Linked DNA regions of Diceros bicornis minor. The protein of the gene in region 1 interacts with the protein of each later gene in a pairwise test. Links are inferred from orthologs where the notes say so. Each region holds a gene or a part of one and is shown on either strand. Other genes may lie near its edges. The genes, in order: LATS1 and MOAP1.

The links.
Region 2: the proteins of LATS1 (region 1) and MOAP1 interact in a two-hybrid assay, tested with the Homo sapiens proteins (2 studies listed by BioGRID and IntAct). The two-hybrid records come from large-scale screens. The link is inferred for Diceros bicornis minor from reciprocal best matches to the Homo sapiens genes LATS1 and MOAP1.

The regions. Positions count from the first base shown.
Region 1 is NC_080778.1:28,143,611-28,152,626, forward strand, and holds the start of LATS1 (serine/threonine-protein kinase LATS1), read right to left. Parts: upstream 3,883-9,016; 5' UTR 3,709-3,882; intron 1-3,708. UniProt on the Homo sapiens protein: Negative regulator of YAP1 in the Hippo signaling pathway that plays a pivotal role in organ size control and tumor suppression by restricting proliferation and promoting apoptosis.
Region 2 is NC_080763.1:38,849,867-38,858,161, forward strand, and holds MOAP1 (modulator of apoptosis 1), read right to left. Parts: upstream 2,833-8,295; coding exon 1,777-2,832; 3' UTR 1,615-1,776; downstream 1-1,614. Other genes in the region: LYSET (lysosomal enzyme trafficking factor), read left to right, coding at 2,870-2,900, 3,797-3,944, 4,373-4,784.

The DNA.
Region 1 (9,016 bases):
TCAGAAGAAGGTGTTTAATTTCCAGTAGTAACTCACTCAACTAAGGAAAAAACAAAACTAAGAGTTTAAGCAAAAAGGAAAGAAAGACGAAACCCCAGTATTCTTCACTATGCCTCAAAATTACATACTCAATCATAAAGACAATAAAGAGGTTCAAGATAATTAGCCCAGGTTATGAAAAGCAGCATGTCACCATGTGGTTATGTGTCAACTATCCACAGCCCGAAGTAATTTGGAAGAATCCTAGATTCTGAGTATGAGCAGGCTGAGACTCAAACTTCACTGTGACTGAAAAAAAGGGTATACAATTGCATGGATACACATACGTTATTGAAGGTTAATAAAAACTATGTTTACTTTCTTTCCCCTGAAAAATTGTTACTAAATACATGGCTTGTTTTAGACTTAACGGTGTCTTGGAACTGAGAAAATATGACAATTCAACCTCGTTTTTAATAACTATGTATTAAATTACATCATGTAGATGTACCATAATTTACCCCTAATGATGGGCATTTAAGTTGTTTCCAATTTTTTGCTATTCTAGATAATGTTTCAAACACTGATAACTTCAATTGTATTGGTAATATTCTAGTTCTGAGGATGGGTGGTGAGTTCATGGATGTTCAATTTATTTTGCTTCACAGCTTACCTATACATAACATATTCCTTGTACACATCATAATTAGTTAATAAAAAAATACTGCAATAAAAATTCTTAGGCACATATTGTTGAGAATTTCTCTTAAGATAAATTCCCAGAAATGGAATTACTGGGTCAAAGAGAACGCATATTTAAAATTGTGATACTTACTGTCAGATTGCCTTCCAGAAAGGTGTACTAATTTACAATCTCTCCAACAAAGTATGGTCAACACTAGCATTAACAAATCTTAGTCACCCTTGCTAATATGAAAATTCAAATTAATAATGGATAATTTGTTAAAGAACTCTTCAAAGCAAAACAGTTTAACTCTTTAACCCATGCTACACTGGTGCCAGATTAGTCTTCTAGAAAACAGTTATCATGTCACTTCCCTACTCTAGAGCCCTCAATGACTCTAACTTAGCAGTTGAAGTCAGAGCTCTGGAGTCAAACTGGAGGGTATGAATCCCAGTTCTATCACTAGTCAGCTGTGTGATCTCGGCAAACTGTGCCTCAGCTCCTTCATTTTCAAATATGGGCAGTAATGGTCCTATTTAATAGGGTTATTTTGAGCATTAAAATTAAGTAAGTTTAATACACATCAAATGTTTAGAATAAGTGCCCGACTCAATAACGGCTAGTTATTACCTTACCTCTTTCCATTATCCTCCCAGATTCTCCCCTCTGTACCTTATACTCTAACCAAGCCAAATGACTTGCTTTCAGCTAACATACCTTGTGCTTTTCGACTTTCATGTCCTTAATCATCCTGTTTATTCTTCTTGAGAGAGCCCCTGCCAAATTTCTTCTCATAGAAATTATACCCAACCTTTAAGGTACCATTCAAATACCTCCTTCACCGAGCTTTCACTGAACTGTCAGTTGTTATTCTTCTCTTCTGAACTCCAAATGTACTTTGCATGATCAAATAAAACTTACGTTTTTGCCCTATTCTTGTACTTGTCTTATTTTTCCTACTAGATCACAGATTCATAGAGCATAAGGTGTCTTACAGATATATATATGTGTGTGTGTGTATATATATATTTTTTTCCCCCCAGATGAAGTAATGGATTCAGAGAGGTAAAGTGGCCTATCTAAGGTCATGGAGCCAGCTGGAGGTCATGCTAGGAATGGACTTCACACATCCTGAACCACCCAGGGTTCTTCTCATCATACCTCCAACCTGACTCTCCTAAGGGCAGGGATCACGACTCACTCATTCTTTGAAGGGACACTTATATTGATTAGACTGAACAGATAAAACCTCCATCTCTTTGAAAGTTCAGACCTTCATCAAATATGCAAACGTCAGTAAATCCAAACAAATATTACTGATAACTTGTCCAACGTAGGGAAAAAACAGATACCATTACATAATAAAACTTCAGAGTATTACCCTGGGTTGAATCAGGTTTATAAAAAAGATGGCCTGTCTCAACGCTTTGACTCAATCAGTTATGGGAACAGCAACAGCAATATGTCTGGCTTTTTTCTTAGCAGCATAATCTTAGTTGTTCAGACAGCAATATTCAAGAGTCTTTGCCAAGTGAGGGCATTTTCTTCAATTCACTAAGAATCAATTGATCAAAACTGAAAACAATCACTATATTCTCTCTTCATGCTGAAAAATGACTGCCATTTCTACTTGATAAAAATGTTGTTCAAATGACGAAATAACTTTTTCGGTCTACAACCCCCCCCCCCCCACTAATCTAAACAACATCTAGAATGAAAACTGAAAAACCAGAGCTGGAACTGTTCTAAGGCTATATTTATATAGAATAACAAGGACTAGCATTAAAAACAAAAATAAAAACTCAACCTATAGAAGGAATTCCAGATATCATACCAAAAAAATGTAGCAGACGTATTTTTTATTTGCTTTTGGAGAGTGGCAAGGCATATTCAATAAACATTCAGAACAGAAAGAATGCACCTTTCCCAGCATGTGCCATGATCCAGTTTCTTGCAGTAGCAGCCGATTAGAGGAACACAATGCTGCTACTTTTACTGTTAAATCAGTCAAATTCCTCCACTGCCTTAGGGAATCAACTGGCCCATTTTACACCGTCTGTCAACTTATTAAAGGACAGAAATGACCTCAAATGTAGGTATTTTAGCAGAGAACAATTATTCCAATTATAATGTCCTATCTTTTCTTCCTCATGGAGAATTTTGATAAAAATTTTTAATCTTCAATAAATAATCCATACAGCCCCGACAAGTTTCACGATCCCGGGCATTCAACACCATTTCCAAAACTGAAGTGATACAATACTATTTGTGCGTAAGGCCACACGTATTTTTCACTAAATTTATGAACAACTTCCAGACGATGATATATATTTTAAGTCATATTAACATATGGGCCAAGAAACGTTAAACTTTGTTCCCTTAGAAAATAACTTTCAATTGGAGAAGTCAGAGAATGGGGTTAAATCAAGTCACCTGGGAGTCATTCTTTGCGACACAAGTTCTTCTTGAGATTATAATCAACAACGTTCCCCTAATTTTCTTTCCTTCATCTTCTGTATTTATATACACTCCTACTCCATAGAGACCCCTCCATCTCTCCCACCCCTTCCAACCAGGAGCAGTAACCAAGCACTCCAGTGGCCTAGACACAGAAGTTCCCAGGGTTTCTTCCAGGTCTGTCCAGGATCGGGTCCCCCCGGGACGCGAACAACTGTGGCTCTTCTGCTGCAGTTGTCCTGCAGAACCCCCGTTCGCTCCCTTCCTTCCAAATCACCGCTGTCCGGCGCGAGCAGGGGGTCGGGTGGAGGTGGGAGGGAGCAGTCCGCGCCGGGCCTGCGGACGGGCCGGCTCCTCCCAGCCGAACCCGCACCTCCCAGGCCGCGAAGCCCGGGGCTCTCCCTCCAGCCCGGGCGCGGCCAACCCCCGCTTCCCGGGGCCGGGCTCCGCTCAGGTCCGGCCGCCGGCCCGCCCGCCGCGGCAGCCCTGGACCCCGCCAGGGGCATGGGCGTGGGCCGGGCGGCCGCGGCCCCGCCAGCTCGGCTCGGGCGGAGAGCGCGCCCCACCCGCTGCGCCCGCCGACCTACCTGAGGGGCGAGCGGGGCTCCCGGACAGCGGGCACGGCCCGAGGCGGGCGCCGAGGCGGCGGGGGCGCGGCCCGGGAGGGACCCCGAGTGTCCCGGTGGGGCAGGGCGGGGACAGGCGCCGGGGTGCCGCGGGCCAGCGCGGCCCGTCGCGGGGTCGCGAGACCTGGCTCTCCCCCTAGCAGCAGGCCGCCGCCGCCGCCGCCGCCGCCATCTTGCCTTCCACTCGCAGCCGCCACCGCGCTCCGCCGCGGGGTTCCCGGATGTGGGCATTTCCCGGCGTCGCTTGCGCGGGGGCCGCGGCCCGGGAGCTCCCGCCCGCCCCCGCTCTCCGGCGGCCGCGCGCCCCTCTGCGGGCGGCGAGTGTCGCCCGTGCCCGCCGTGGCTGCCCGGGGCCTCGTCCCGGGCGGCGGGGTGGGCTCTCCCCTCCCGGCCCTCACGTTTCAGTCTCCCTCTCTCTTCACTTGAGCCCTTTCTGTGGACGGAGGTAAAGATGCGCGTCTCGAGGAGCTTGACTCCCCGAAGGAAACGGGAATGAGGCGCCCTCTGAGAGCTCGCTGAGGACTCAGGGGTCGCGGTTTCCAGAGGCTTTGACTTAAGTTGATTTTGTTGAGCACTCTTCCCCCGAGTAAATCCGTGAGCGTGAGTGTTTTCTGAATCAGCCAGATTAATATATTCTTGAACCCGGACAGATGAACAGAGTCTAGAGATTTTTAATGTCAGCCGAATCGGTGGAAGAGGAAGGCATTATTGTCATAACCGGAATAACGGTGACTGCGAGAAGAGGTTTTATTTCTTGTTAAGTTGAGTTGGAAGTTTGCGAAGGGATCTTTGGGTTTATGATGTTTGAAGGTACCGGCCACCCTTTGTAAAAGCGCCTCTGCCAGTTCTGCCTCTGGAAAGTATTTCCAGTTAGTATTTTCAAACATCTCCTTTCATCATTTTTCTACTAGAGACTGTCTATAAAATTTTTAAAGACTTCTTTTTTTTGATATTAAACTAGTTACTGACTACTGTATCCAGAAGTTCAAATTCCCTCTTAAAACCCCTGTTACGAAAACCTCTGTTAAAAGAAAAGGTTACATTCCAAGAGCACTTGGTTGAACATCTGTGTTCCACCAGCAGAGTTTGTAGAAGGTAGAGGATACGACCCAAGGTGCGCCGCTTAATAGCACTAGGTCTTACTTTCTGCCACTGAAAGACCTTGTTTTTCGGGTCTTTCTGACCCGAAAGAAAGACCTTTGAATCTAATATATAATCATATGAATCTAATATGTTCACAGGCCTGCTTGCCCTTTCCAGAAGCAATATGTATCTGGAAGAGCATACTGCCCTCAGAATCTTGTCACCTCTGTCACCAACCCATGGAACTTCTTCATTTCAGCTCTTCAATTCTTTTTTTTTTTTTTTTTTTGGTGAGGAGGACTAGCCCTGAGCTAACATCCGATGCCAATCCTCCCCTTTTTTCTTGAGGAACATTGGCCCTGGGCTAACATCCGTGCCCATCTTCCTCTACTTTATATGGGACGCTGCCACAGCATGGCTTAACAAGTGGTGTGTCCCTGCGCGCCCGGGATCCAAACCTGCCACCCCCAGGCTGCTGCAGCGGAGCGCACGCTCTTAACAGCTGTGCCACCGGGCGGCCCCGCTTCAATTCTTTTTAAGCCTAAAGGTGAGTATCTCCATAAACTACTATGTTGAGGGAAATTCCTAGATAATTCAAGGAGCTCAGTGAATTGCTCTTTCTAGGACTAGGAGGCTTACTCCTGTGAAGTAGGGGGAGAGAAGGGCAGAGAAAAGAGAGAAGAATTGACAAGATGGAAAGCAGCTGAGACTGCGGGTGGGCATGGAAGGGAAAGACCAGGGGAATAGTTTCTGGGGTGCTGGATGTCTAAGAATGGCAGTGCCTGCCATTGCACTTGAAGGTCTTTGTACTGCTGTGATGGAAAACCCTTGGTTTAGCCTCAGCATACTCAACTCCTCAATGCCTCACTGAAGTGGGGTTTTTTGGTTTCATTTTGTTTTTATTAACAAATGTAGGGGCCAGATTTCATGGTTGAGTGACTGTAGGGAGAGGGACAGTACACATGGAAGAAGTCTGGAGACAGTGTGGCCCTGAACACATAAGCCCTCCTGGGAATTCATGCTGCCTTAGGGGAAGGCTCTAGACCATGACCAGCCCACAGTTAAGGAGTGAAGAGTTGGGGCTGGCCTGGTGGTGCAGCAGTTAAGTGCACGTGCTCTGCTTCAGAGTACCAGGGTTCGCAGATTCGGATCCTGGGTGCGCACTGATGCACCGCTTGGCAAGCCATGCTGTGGCAGCGTCCCATATAAAGCAGAGGAAGATGGGCATGGGTGTTAGCCCAGGGCCAATCGCCCTCACCAAAAAAAAAAAAAAATTTTTTTTAACATGATCAGCAAATTCTAGTCATTCCACTTCTCCCTTCTCAACCCTCCCTCCCGTGGTTTTCTCCCTCTTTGTACAACTCTAATGTAGTGAAATGTTGGAATTGTTTTGATGCTAAGATGACCGTAGTCTAGGATGTAGCTGTTAGTTTTTCTGCATTGCCACTTAACGTTAATCATGGTTCAGAATGATACCAATGAAATAAGTTTCAATAGTTTCATATCGTTGTTTGGGTCTCCCCAGGTTTTATGTCTGTAGAACAAGAGCATCACTACTGCTTCATAATTAGTCTGAGCTAGATACCACATCCATACCATAAGCTTAAATGAAGGTTTGATATTAACTATACACTAGTGAACTTAGTATGCTTCTTGTGGTAGCTTTGTCAGCAAGATAAATGGGGTAGAATGTCAATAAATCGGTTTGGTTTACAAATATTTCTGTAACTGTAGCCAAATACCAATAACTTGTGTCACTGGTAATTTAGAGGACTCTAGGAGTGGGCCTAAGCCCTTCAGTCCCTTTAACTATCTCCTAACCAGTGGGATGAGAGTGTAGAAAGCATGCTGGGAAATTCTGAAAATAATCAGCTTCTACAGACAAGATTCAAAGGAGGTTGTTCCTTCTTTCCTATACTGAAATAAAATTTATCTTCTCGGAACGAGAAGGATGGACCTATAGCAAGGATCAAAACCATCTGCATTAACTCAAGAATATGGGAAGTATGGCTTAGGAGTATCATGTTTGAAAATTGAAGAGTTTCAGTTCAACTAGCAGCAGTCTAAGTGAACAAATGTCAGACTAGTTACAATAAGCTGAGACAGCAGTACAAAGGAATATCATACCCCAAATCAGGAGAGTAGGATTTTGTCATATTCTCAGCAAGGCTGACACCACCCAGAACAGTGTTCATTTTGGGAGTCACACTTTAAAGATGACCTTTGGCAAATGGGAGTATTTTTTGAAGAGAAAACAAGATTGTGAGTTTAGTTCAGTTCAATTTACACTGATTCAGTGCTTACTATGGATCAGGTATTTTGTTAAACATTGTTAATACAAAACTGAGACATGGGCTCTGTACTTGAGCTTGTGGTCCAGTAGAGGGAGCCAGGCTGCTTAACACAGCTGTAAGCGTATATACGCTCTGCACAATGGGCTTCTGAAGCAGAGTACAATTTAACTCAGATTGTCAGAGGCCAGGGAACGCTTTCTTGAGAACATGACACCTAAAAGGAGACTGGAAGCGTAAGCAGGATTTAGCCAAGAAAGGCAAGAAAGGCTGGGAAGGAACCTTGCCCACAAGAAACAAAAAGGTTTACTGCAAGGAAGCTACAATACGTAGTTTTGAATATTTGAATGTGTGATGAGAGGAATTAAATGTTTTTTGTGGCTCCTGAGGAAAGAAGACAAATGGAAGCAAATTTCAGTTCAGTATATGAAAATTCATTTATTTACTGAAACCTTATGGTAAAGTACCCCAACATAATGCAGATTTGATGAACTGACTTGGTTGTCTCGTAGTAGGTTCACGTGGTCACTTCGTTAACCCACAATGACATGATTCTACCTTTTTTACAGGATTGTTTTGGATCCCACTGACACACTAAAACACTGCTATAATGCTGTAACAATTAGAGTGGTCCAAAGGAGAGGCTGCACTGGGGAATGGGAAACTTGATCACAGTGTATTTCCAAGTAGACGCTGGATGATAATTTGTTAGGAATGCTATGGAAAGGATTATTAAATTTAGGTTGGAGATGCCCTCCAAGGTACCTTCCACCTCTGAGATCCTGCAGCCCTCAAAAGAAACTCTATTTGATAGTTTCATGAATGAAGGCAGTAGGTGACAATGAACAAATTCATAAATTAGGGTTTTATTTATACTACATAAAGCTTATGTTTCTTATTAAATCTGGCAGAACTCATCAATTGATAGGAAATGTAACAGTATTCAAATGTACTTTCTTTTACTTATGGTTACAAATACCCTTAAATCAAAGCAAAGCTTCAAACTTACAACTTGTTTCCAGTCCAGGCTAGTATTCTACGTCTACAAGTCTGGCTCCCTCCCTCTACCAATTATTCACTGTAACCATCAAGGGAAACTGAATACACTGCTCCTGGAAACTGAGAAGAGTGCTAGTAACATATATAAAACATTCAAACTTTTCAGCAGCAGATAATGCAGATGAAAGCAGAAGCACAACAAGACTGCTATTCACTGTACATGGAAAATGTGCCATGTGGGAGCCAGGGTCTTCCAGGAGAGAGATCGACTCTGGGCCCGCTCAGAGCAAGGATGCTAGCCTGCTGACTGTAATGGGCGGGTGCCTGTAACTGGGTGAAGAGAGGGACACTGCAGCTTACGGCTGCAGCAAGACATTCACACAAAGGAAATATAAAGTCAAAGGAAAATTCATAGCTTTATTATTGAATCCATGTGTTTACCGCTAGGGAATGTGCATCCACAAATATGTATGATATATTTCATTTTTACAAAAAAATTATACACATTGATGGATAAAAAAGGGTATGAAGACTATTGTCTGAGATTACAAGTACTTAAAATTTTCTTTTGACTAATTTGTCTTTTTTTCTGTAATGAATTACTTTTGTAATAACAGAAAGTCTTAAAAATTAGTCCCAGCAATAAAACTATAAACAGATTAGAAATTCCTAGCAGCAAAATTTTCTTTCCTTCTCTGAGTCTTTGGAATTCAAAGTTACTAATTACCTTTAATCAAATATTTTTGATTAATATATCAAATATATCTAAAAAAGAAGATGCATATATGTATTCCATTTTAAAATGCTGACCAAAAAAAACCAAATACCAACATACCCTGAGATAAGGTGGCATTAAAAAATTGAAAGTATTTATTAGGACAGAAAAGGAAAACTTT
Region 2 (8,295 bases), on another chromosome or scaffold:
ATGCATTCAAGATGTGCATTTATGAAATGTGGTTAACATCAGCTCTGCCTCCCTTGTGAGGCTGTTGGGTACAGATACCCTTATGATTGCTTCTCTTTCTTGGCAGTGGAAAGAATATGGGCCTTGCAGTAAGGCAGAGGATAGAACTCTGAAACTAGCTGTTTCATCTCGGGCAAGTTCTTCTTAACCTTTCTGTGCCCGTATCCACAAGTGCGAAACTGAGTTTTCCTATATTGCAGGATTTTTAAGAGGATTGAGAAAGTACATGGAAAAATGTTTAGTCCAGCCTGCCATGCAGTGGAATGCAATGTCCATTTCCTTCCTTTGACCCTCCAAATTCAATGCACTGATGCATCTGGACCCACTGCTTACACTAATTTGTGTCTGTCTTATTTCATTCCATGTACTTGAGCAGAAGGTCCCTCCAGCAATCTCACTTAGAAAACTACTTCCTACCCCCTGGGCATCATGAGGAAAAGGGTCCAAGAGACTAAGATTGTGTAAATTCAGTGGTTTTCAGATTCATGCTTTTGGCACCCTTTGTTCAAAGGAACTCTCTCTTGGAACTTCGATATAAACAAAACAGATAAAAGAGGTCATTTTAGGGCCAGCCCTGTGGCTTAGTGGTTAAGGGCGCGCGCTCCGCTGCTGGCGGCCCGGGGTTCAGATCCCGGGCTAGCACCGAGGCACCGCTTCTCCGGCCATGTTGAGGCCGCGTCCCACATACAGCAACTAGAAGGATGTGCAGCTATGACATACAACTGTCTACTGGGGCTTTGGGGGGAAAATAAATAAAATCTTTAAAAAAAAAAAAAAGAGGTCATTTTATTAGCATTCCTTTATTTTATAAGTTCACACCTATAGTTTTATTTTTATTTTATTTTTTTTTTGTGAGGAGGACCAGCCCTGAGCTAACATCCAATGCCAATCCTCCTCTTTTTTGCTGAGGAAGACTGGCCCTGGGCTAACATCCATGCCAATCTTCCTCTACTTTATATGGGACGCCGCCACAGCATGGCCTAACAAGCGGTGCGTCGGTGCGCACCCGGGATCCGAACCTGCGAACCCCGGGCCGCGGCAGCAGAACATGCACACTTAACCACTTGCGCCACCAGGCTGGCCCCCACACCTATAGTTTTAGAACACTTATAAAAAACGATATTCAGAACTAGATGTCCGGATGACACATATCAGAAATCCCGGTGTTAGAGATAGCAGCTGCAAACTTATCAACCTCAGCATTTAATTCTTGTTTTGATTGAACAAAATCAATAAAATTCTGATTCACACAGAAAATAACTTAGTATCTTAACCACTGCTCACGATCTTCATGATAAATGGAGGGCAATACATAACTAAAAACTATCTATGATACAACATTATCATATCCGACATGCTACACTTGCACCTGTTCACACAGCTGAGATCTCAACGAGATCCAGTGAGCATCTGCACCTGAGCCTCGTGGTCCTCTCAGAGCATCACACATATGTAGTGACAGACCTTTTGTACAATTTCGTATGATAAAAAATTCACGGGGGTGAAAATAAATACATTAATACCAGTGCAGAACTATAGCCTTCCTAGTCAATGACACATTTAAGAGACATTAAATAGGCATAGAAATGACAAAGAATTTATACTGAGAACTGTACAAAAATGAGTTATTTGGCAGCACAAGGTAGGGACTGGGTAATGTCTATCACTGGAGTATATGGACCATTCTACCTCCATGCTCTGCTCACCGTCCGATACCCCTTCCTGGTTTCCTAAGATTCAGGTGAAATGCCCCTCCAATCCTGCCTGGAGAAGGGCCGCCTCCTCCTCAGCTGCCTCTTGATCCCTTATCAGTGTCAGTAACTGCAATAAGCCAGGGGCTGGGCCCTTCTCTGGCAGAGCAAGCTTCCTGCGCAGCCTTCTGTGGACTGCTCCAGCAATGACTTGGTCCAGGCGGGCCTGATTCACAACTTCTCTCTCAATTGCTCCTCTCTCTACCAGCTTCTGTAATAAAGGCTCCAGCCTTAGTACATAAGCAGACAATTTTTCTTCCTCCTGGTAAGTGGTTAGATATTTGACCTGCAACTTCCTAGGATTATCAGTAACCCCAAATACCTGCTCAAGAGCCTGCAGGCATTCAGGGACCGTAATTAACGGATTGTTTATCTTGAGGACACGAATGACATCAAATGCTGGGCCTCTAAGGCTCTCCAGCAATCGCCTTCTTTTCTCTGCATCTGAAACCTGCCATGCCTTCATCATGTGAGTAGTATGAATCAGCCAGGATTCAAATTCTTCTTCGTCTGGTTCTGGAGGATCACTGCCCGAGAATATTCTCAGCTTTGTGTATTTCAGGTACTGCAGGGCAGGCTGAAGAGCCTCAAGAAATGCCTGTGCCAACATAGGGGCCCGTATTTCTGGGCTCATGTCCTGGTCTAGGTCAAAAGGGTCGTTTCCATACCCAAGAGCTCTGGTGAACTCACCCAATGTCATGCCCTCTCCCTCTAAGAATTCATTTAATCTGCTTAAAAATGCATCATCTGGGTCAGGGGGCTTAAAGATCACTCTCCAGACACGCCCTTTCCCAGGTATCTCCTTAGGGACCAGAGCATGACTAGTCTCCTGAGTAAGACCTATTAAGGCTACATTTCTGTTCTCGTCCCTCCTAAACATCCTGCCGAGCAGTCTGTACTCGCCCAAGGGAGCTAGGCCAGCCCGCAGGGCCTCCTCGATCTCCGCCACATTGCAGGTCTGGGGGATGCCGGCGATCAGCAGCGCTTTCCGAGCGCTCACATCCATCTCCCTGCACCAGTCTTCCAAGATCCTCAGCGTCATGATGCCCCAAACAAGAGACTGAAATGTCGGGGCACCGATGCCACCGCACTTCCTCCGCGGTACCCCAGGTAAGTCCCGCCAGCGTCCTGAGCTCGGCGGCCTGCGGGGACAGCGCGGCCGGGTTAGTCGCAGGGGTCCAGGCCCGGGCCCGAGAAGCCCCGCGCACCGCGCCGGCCGCACCGCGGCCGGCAGCCATCTCACCCGCTCCTCGGCCTGGGGCGCCCGCAGCCGACGGCGGGGCCGCGTCCCCTCGCCGGTGATCTAGTCGCCGGTGTCTGCGTCCGCCGGCGGCCAGGCCCGAGGAGCGGGAGCGCGGCGTCTCCTGCACTCGATGGACACTCGAGAGGCTCCCGGGGCTGGGCAGAGGCGCGGAGGAGGGCTGGCGCTCTGCGCGGCGAGGAGCGCCGGGCGATCAGGGCGGCGAGCGAGGCACCGGGGGGCGAGCCCGAGGAGCGCCGAGGCGGCGGGGCGCACCTGAGGGGAGGGGCCCCCACCCGCGCCGCCGCAGCGTCCCGCGTCCCGACCCGCACCGCCGGCGAAGGCCCGACGTCACGACGGGGCGGGCCTTTCGGGGCGGGGCGCGCGCTTCCGGCTCGAGCCGGAAGCCCCGACTGCGGCAGCGTCCGGGACCGCGGGCGGGCGGGCTAACCCGGACAGGAAGGTGAGATCCGGGACCTGCCAGCCCTGCAGGCTCGGCCGGCGGCGGCCGCCCGGCACGGGGCTCCCGGCGCTGCGAGGCGGAGAGGCTTGGGCCTGGCGCCGCCCGCGCAGCCTGTCGCGGCCGGCCGGCGCTGCAGCGCGGCAGGGGGCGGGACGGCCGCAGGGAGGCCCGGGTGGCTGGGGAGCGTCGGGCCGGGCCGGGTGACACGGGCTGGGGCTCCGGCGGTGGCGGCGGCCGGGGCCGGGCCGCCGCGTGACCGGCCGCAGTCACGCTCTGCTTAATCACAATTAGCTTGTGCTCCAGGCTGGCCGCGCTCACCTTTCTCCCAGCCGGTGACCCCGGAGATTTCTTTTATGGTGGCTTTCTGTGAAATGCCAAAGCCACCCGATTATTCAGAACTGAGTGACTCTTTAACGCTTGCCGTGGGAACAGGAAGATTTTCGGGACCATTGTAAGTGCTTAAGAGTTACTGTCTTAACTTGGGGGCCTTGACGTTGGTTTGACTTGTAGAACTAAGTGTTCACGTCTGAAGCAATACTGTTCAAGTATTTTAACTGTAAAAGTGAATTGTTCCGTAGGAAACTAGTTTAATTCCAATTTCTTAATGGAAGATGTGCTGGACCTATTAAGCTGGATATAGTGATTTATTTATTCTGTGGGATTCACATAAAAAGCAGACTGAATACTAAAACTTTACTTCCTCTTATTACATAAAACAGCAATCTGTAAGTTATTTACATTTCTTTGTAAATGTAATTTATTTTAAACCTTAAATGCCTTAGTGGGGTACTTTAGAACTCCTTGGACATAAAGCAAGTACATTTGGAATAGTTGCCGTGACAGCATTACTAGATCCTAACTTTTTTTTTTATTTTAAAGGCACAGAGCATGGAGAATGATGAACTTCCGTCAGCGGATGGGATGGATTGGAGTGGGATTGTATCTGTTAGCAAGTGCAGCAGCATTTTACTATGTTTTTGAAATCAATGAGACTTACAACAGGCTGGCCTTGGAACACATTCAACAGCACCCAGAGGAGCCCCTTGAAGGAACCACATGGACACACTCTTTGAAAGCTCGGTTATTCTCTCTGCCGTTTTGGTTTTGGACAATTATTTTTCTGATACCTTACTTACAGATGTTTTTGTTCCTTTATTCTTGTACAAGAGCTGACCCCAAGACGGTGGGCTACTGTATTATCCCCATATGCTTGGCAGTTATTTGCAATCGCCACCAGGCATTTGTCAAGGCTTCTAATCAGATCAGCAGACTACAACTGATTGACACGTGAAAGCAGTCACAGTTTTTTCCTTATGATTACAAAACTGCCATATGGAACTTGATCACAAGACTGCACTTTCTTCACAGATCTCAGGAAGTTGTGGTGGGGCAGAGGCTTTTTAAAAAATGCGACTAGGGGGCTATCTTTATCTGAATAATAATGAGAATTTTTAGGTAAAGCCTGAGATACATACTACAAAATCATGTTGATGATTTCAGATTTTGGAAGTAAAATCGTGTCTGTTATTTGCATTCTTTAGCAACTTGAATAAGTACCTGAACTCATATTTTTATTCTACTGTGCAACATAGTGATGGTTCAGAAATTTTTCCTTTGGGGAAAAAATGAGTATGAACATTTCCATTGTGTTTAATGTAAAAAGGTCCAAACATGGTGATAAAATTTAAATTTTATACAATTACTTGGCTTGCTTTAAAATTCTTCAGACTAAAACACCAACTATTTATGCTTGCTTGCTATCAGCTTGTGAGAAATTGGTATAAAATTACTGAGGTGATAGCTGTCTGGATAAGCAGAATTGGTTCCTCCTTTTGGTAATGCTACTGGTATTATTAACTAGCATTATTAATGCTACTGGTTTAAAAAAAAACTACTTGGGAAGAGACTGTTTGCAAGTTGAGAAATCTGACACAGAGGAGATGGAAACAAGGTGTCCAGTGAAAATATTTAGTCCAGTCCCTGTCAGATGTGTGATCCTGCTCTAAAAGATACCAGCAAGTCATCATCCTTCCGATTCTCTTTTCTGGCCTAAGGTCTGGTCTTCAGACAACAGGTTAATTGCATGAAGATGTGATCCTTGTACTTCCTGCTTTGCATTTGTACGTACTACCTCATGTCTGGTGCCAATACAAATAACTAAAAAATGGAAATATTAGATTTTAGGATTTTTTTTCTTTTTTCCTGGTTGAGCTCAAGATATATTTTTATACAGTTATGTCATTAATATCAGGGAAATGTTTTACAGTGATAGGTTTTAATAATAATCATAATATTTTGGGGGGCTTACTCTGTTGGGCCCTGTTCTAAGAGCTTAAATGAATTAATTCATTTAATCCTCCCAACAACCCTATGAGATAGCAGTTATTATGCAGATTTTACAGATAAGGAAACTGAAGTGGAGAAGATAAGTAACTTGCCAAAGGTCACACAGCTGGTGAGTAGCGGAGCCAGAGTCATAACTAGGCATGTGACTCCTTTGTTCCTAACCACTGAGTTGTTAGTGCTTCTTGCAAATGACAGATGTTTCAGCACTAGGTACTGTTTGCCTAGCCATGTCAAAGAGTGGAAATGGCAGTAGTATTGAGAAGGCTTTTCTCAATTTGTATGAGCTACTGAAAATCTGAAAGTTTTCTGGCAACCTCAACCTTTAAGTCTGATTTGACCAGAATGGAGGGCTGAGCATTCCACAGCAAGCTTTTACTTGAAAAATAAAGCAGGCATCTTTGTAACTGAAAAGGAGCACGATTAAATCCTCCTCCAATTAATCTCATTTCTTGACTACCTCCAAAGGTCTAATTACTGAAATGATACTTTTCGCTACAATACACTGAATCTTCAATGTAAGCAGCAGTTTGAAATACCTGTGTTTCTGCGAGGGTCAGATAACCAAATCCCTTGTATCTTTTGGGTACTTAGTGATAGTAGGCATGCGGCAGGAAACATTTTCTGAATGGTTTGCATTCATTCCCAGCATCCTGTGAGGCAGGCTGTACTGGTCCTGGTGCCACTTTACAGAAGAGGAAAGGTGGAAACCTGAGGCACAGGAATTAGTAACTTGCCCGTGGGCACACAGCAGTAAGTGGGAGAGCCAGGATCTGAGCCAGGACGTCTGGCTTGACATCTCCAGCTCTGTCATTCCACCATACTGCTTCTCAAAAAGAGAGGGTAATTTGAGGAAAATCATGGAGCAGTTTTTTGTATTTGATTAGTCCTGAGGCAGTGATAGTTTGGAAATTAAGAAAATTATTTCAATTATTTTTTGTTTTGTAAATGCTTGATGTATTGCGAGGTTGGTGACTTTGCCACTTGTAAAGTAGTAATTCCTTTTTATGGAAGTAGACTTTCTCTCTTATACTTCAAATTCTAATATTTGGGGATTTGGTGAGTAAATGCTCAGTCCCTCTCTCTCTTTCAAGATCAAACTGCCTTGGTAGAAGAAATATTAAAATAATTAGAGTAGGAGTAATGCAGTATTCTCAGATGTAATTACTGAATTTCAGATTGCAGCGTTAATCTATTTTTTGATTCTTTAGGAATTAATTATCCAAGTTGTGGATTATTCTTATTTTGTCTATGGCTATTTAAAAGTTCATGGGGGGCCGGCCCCGTGGCTTAGCGGTTAAGTGCGTGCGCTCTGCTACTGGCGGCCTGGGTGCGGATCCCGGGCGCACACCAACGCACTGCTTCTCCGGCCATGCTGAGGCTGCGTCCCACATACAGCAACTAGAAGGATGTGCAACTATAACATACAACTATCTACTGGGGCTTCGGGGGGAAAAAAAAGGAGGAGGATTGGCAATAGATGTTAGCTCAGAGCCAGTCTTCCTTAGCAAAAAGAGGATTAGCATGGATGTTAGTTCAGAGCTGATCTTCCTCACAAAAAATAATAAAAAAAAAGTTCATGGGGCCGGCCTGGTGGCATAGCGGTTAAGTGTGCATGCTCCGCTTCGGCGGCCCAGGGTTTGCGGGTTCGGATCCGGGGTGCACACCAACGCACCGCTTGTCAAGCCATGCTGTGGCAGTGTCCCGTATAAAGTAGAGGAAGATGGGCACGCATGTTAGCCCAGGGCCAGTCTTCCTCAGCAAAAAAAGGACTGGCAATGGATGTTAGGGCTGATCTTCCTCACAAAAAAAAGTTAAAAGCACTCTTTTGGTAAAGAGGGAAAGGTGAAATTAACCTAGCTCTGTTAGATTTGAGGAGGAGGTTGAAATTGATGGATAGGAGACCTATGTATTATAGCAGATCGTCATTTATTTCATGTTCACATCACAATACAAAAAGCAGTGAAAACAAGACTAGGTAGTGAGATAAATGGCAAATATAGGGAGTGCTTTAGGGATTTTAGGGAAGGGGCAAGCATCCTAGGATCCATAACTAGTCAATATTTGCTTCCATATATGAGAAAAATAGTTATATCCCACAGTGGTTTAATGAGTCATTTTACTTCCAGCTACACTTGAAGTAATGCTGTTGAGTGTTTTTCATGGAAACATGCCAGATATTTTATTTTTTTAAAAGTGCCAGGATAGGGAATGGATAACTGAATCACAGAAACAAACATCTAATTCATAGAGCTTTAGTCAGCACGTAAATTTTCTGGTTTTAAAGATGTTACCAGTTTTTCTTTTTTTAACATTTTTCCCAGTTTTATTGAAAAAAATTGACATACATTACTATATAAGTTCAAGGCATACAGCATGATGGTTTGACTTACAGATATTTTGAAATGATTACTACAGTAGATTCAGCTAACATCCATCTTCTCATACAGATACACAAT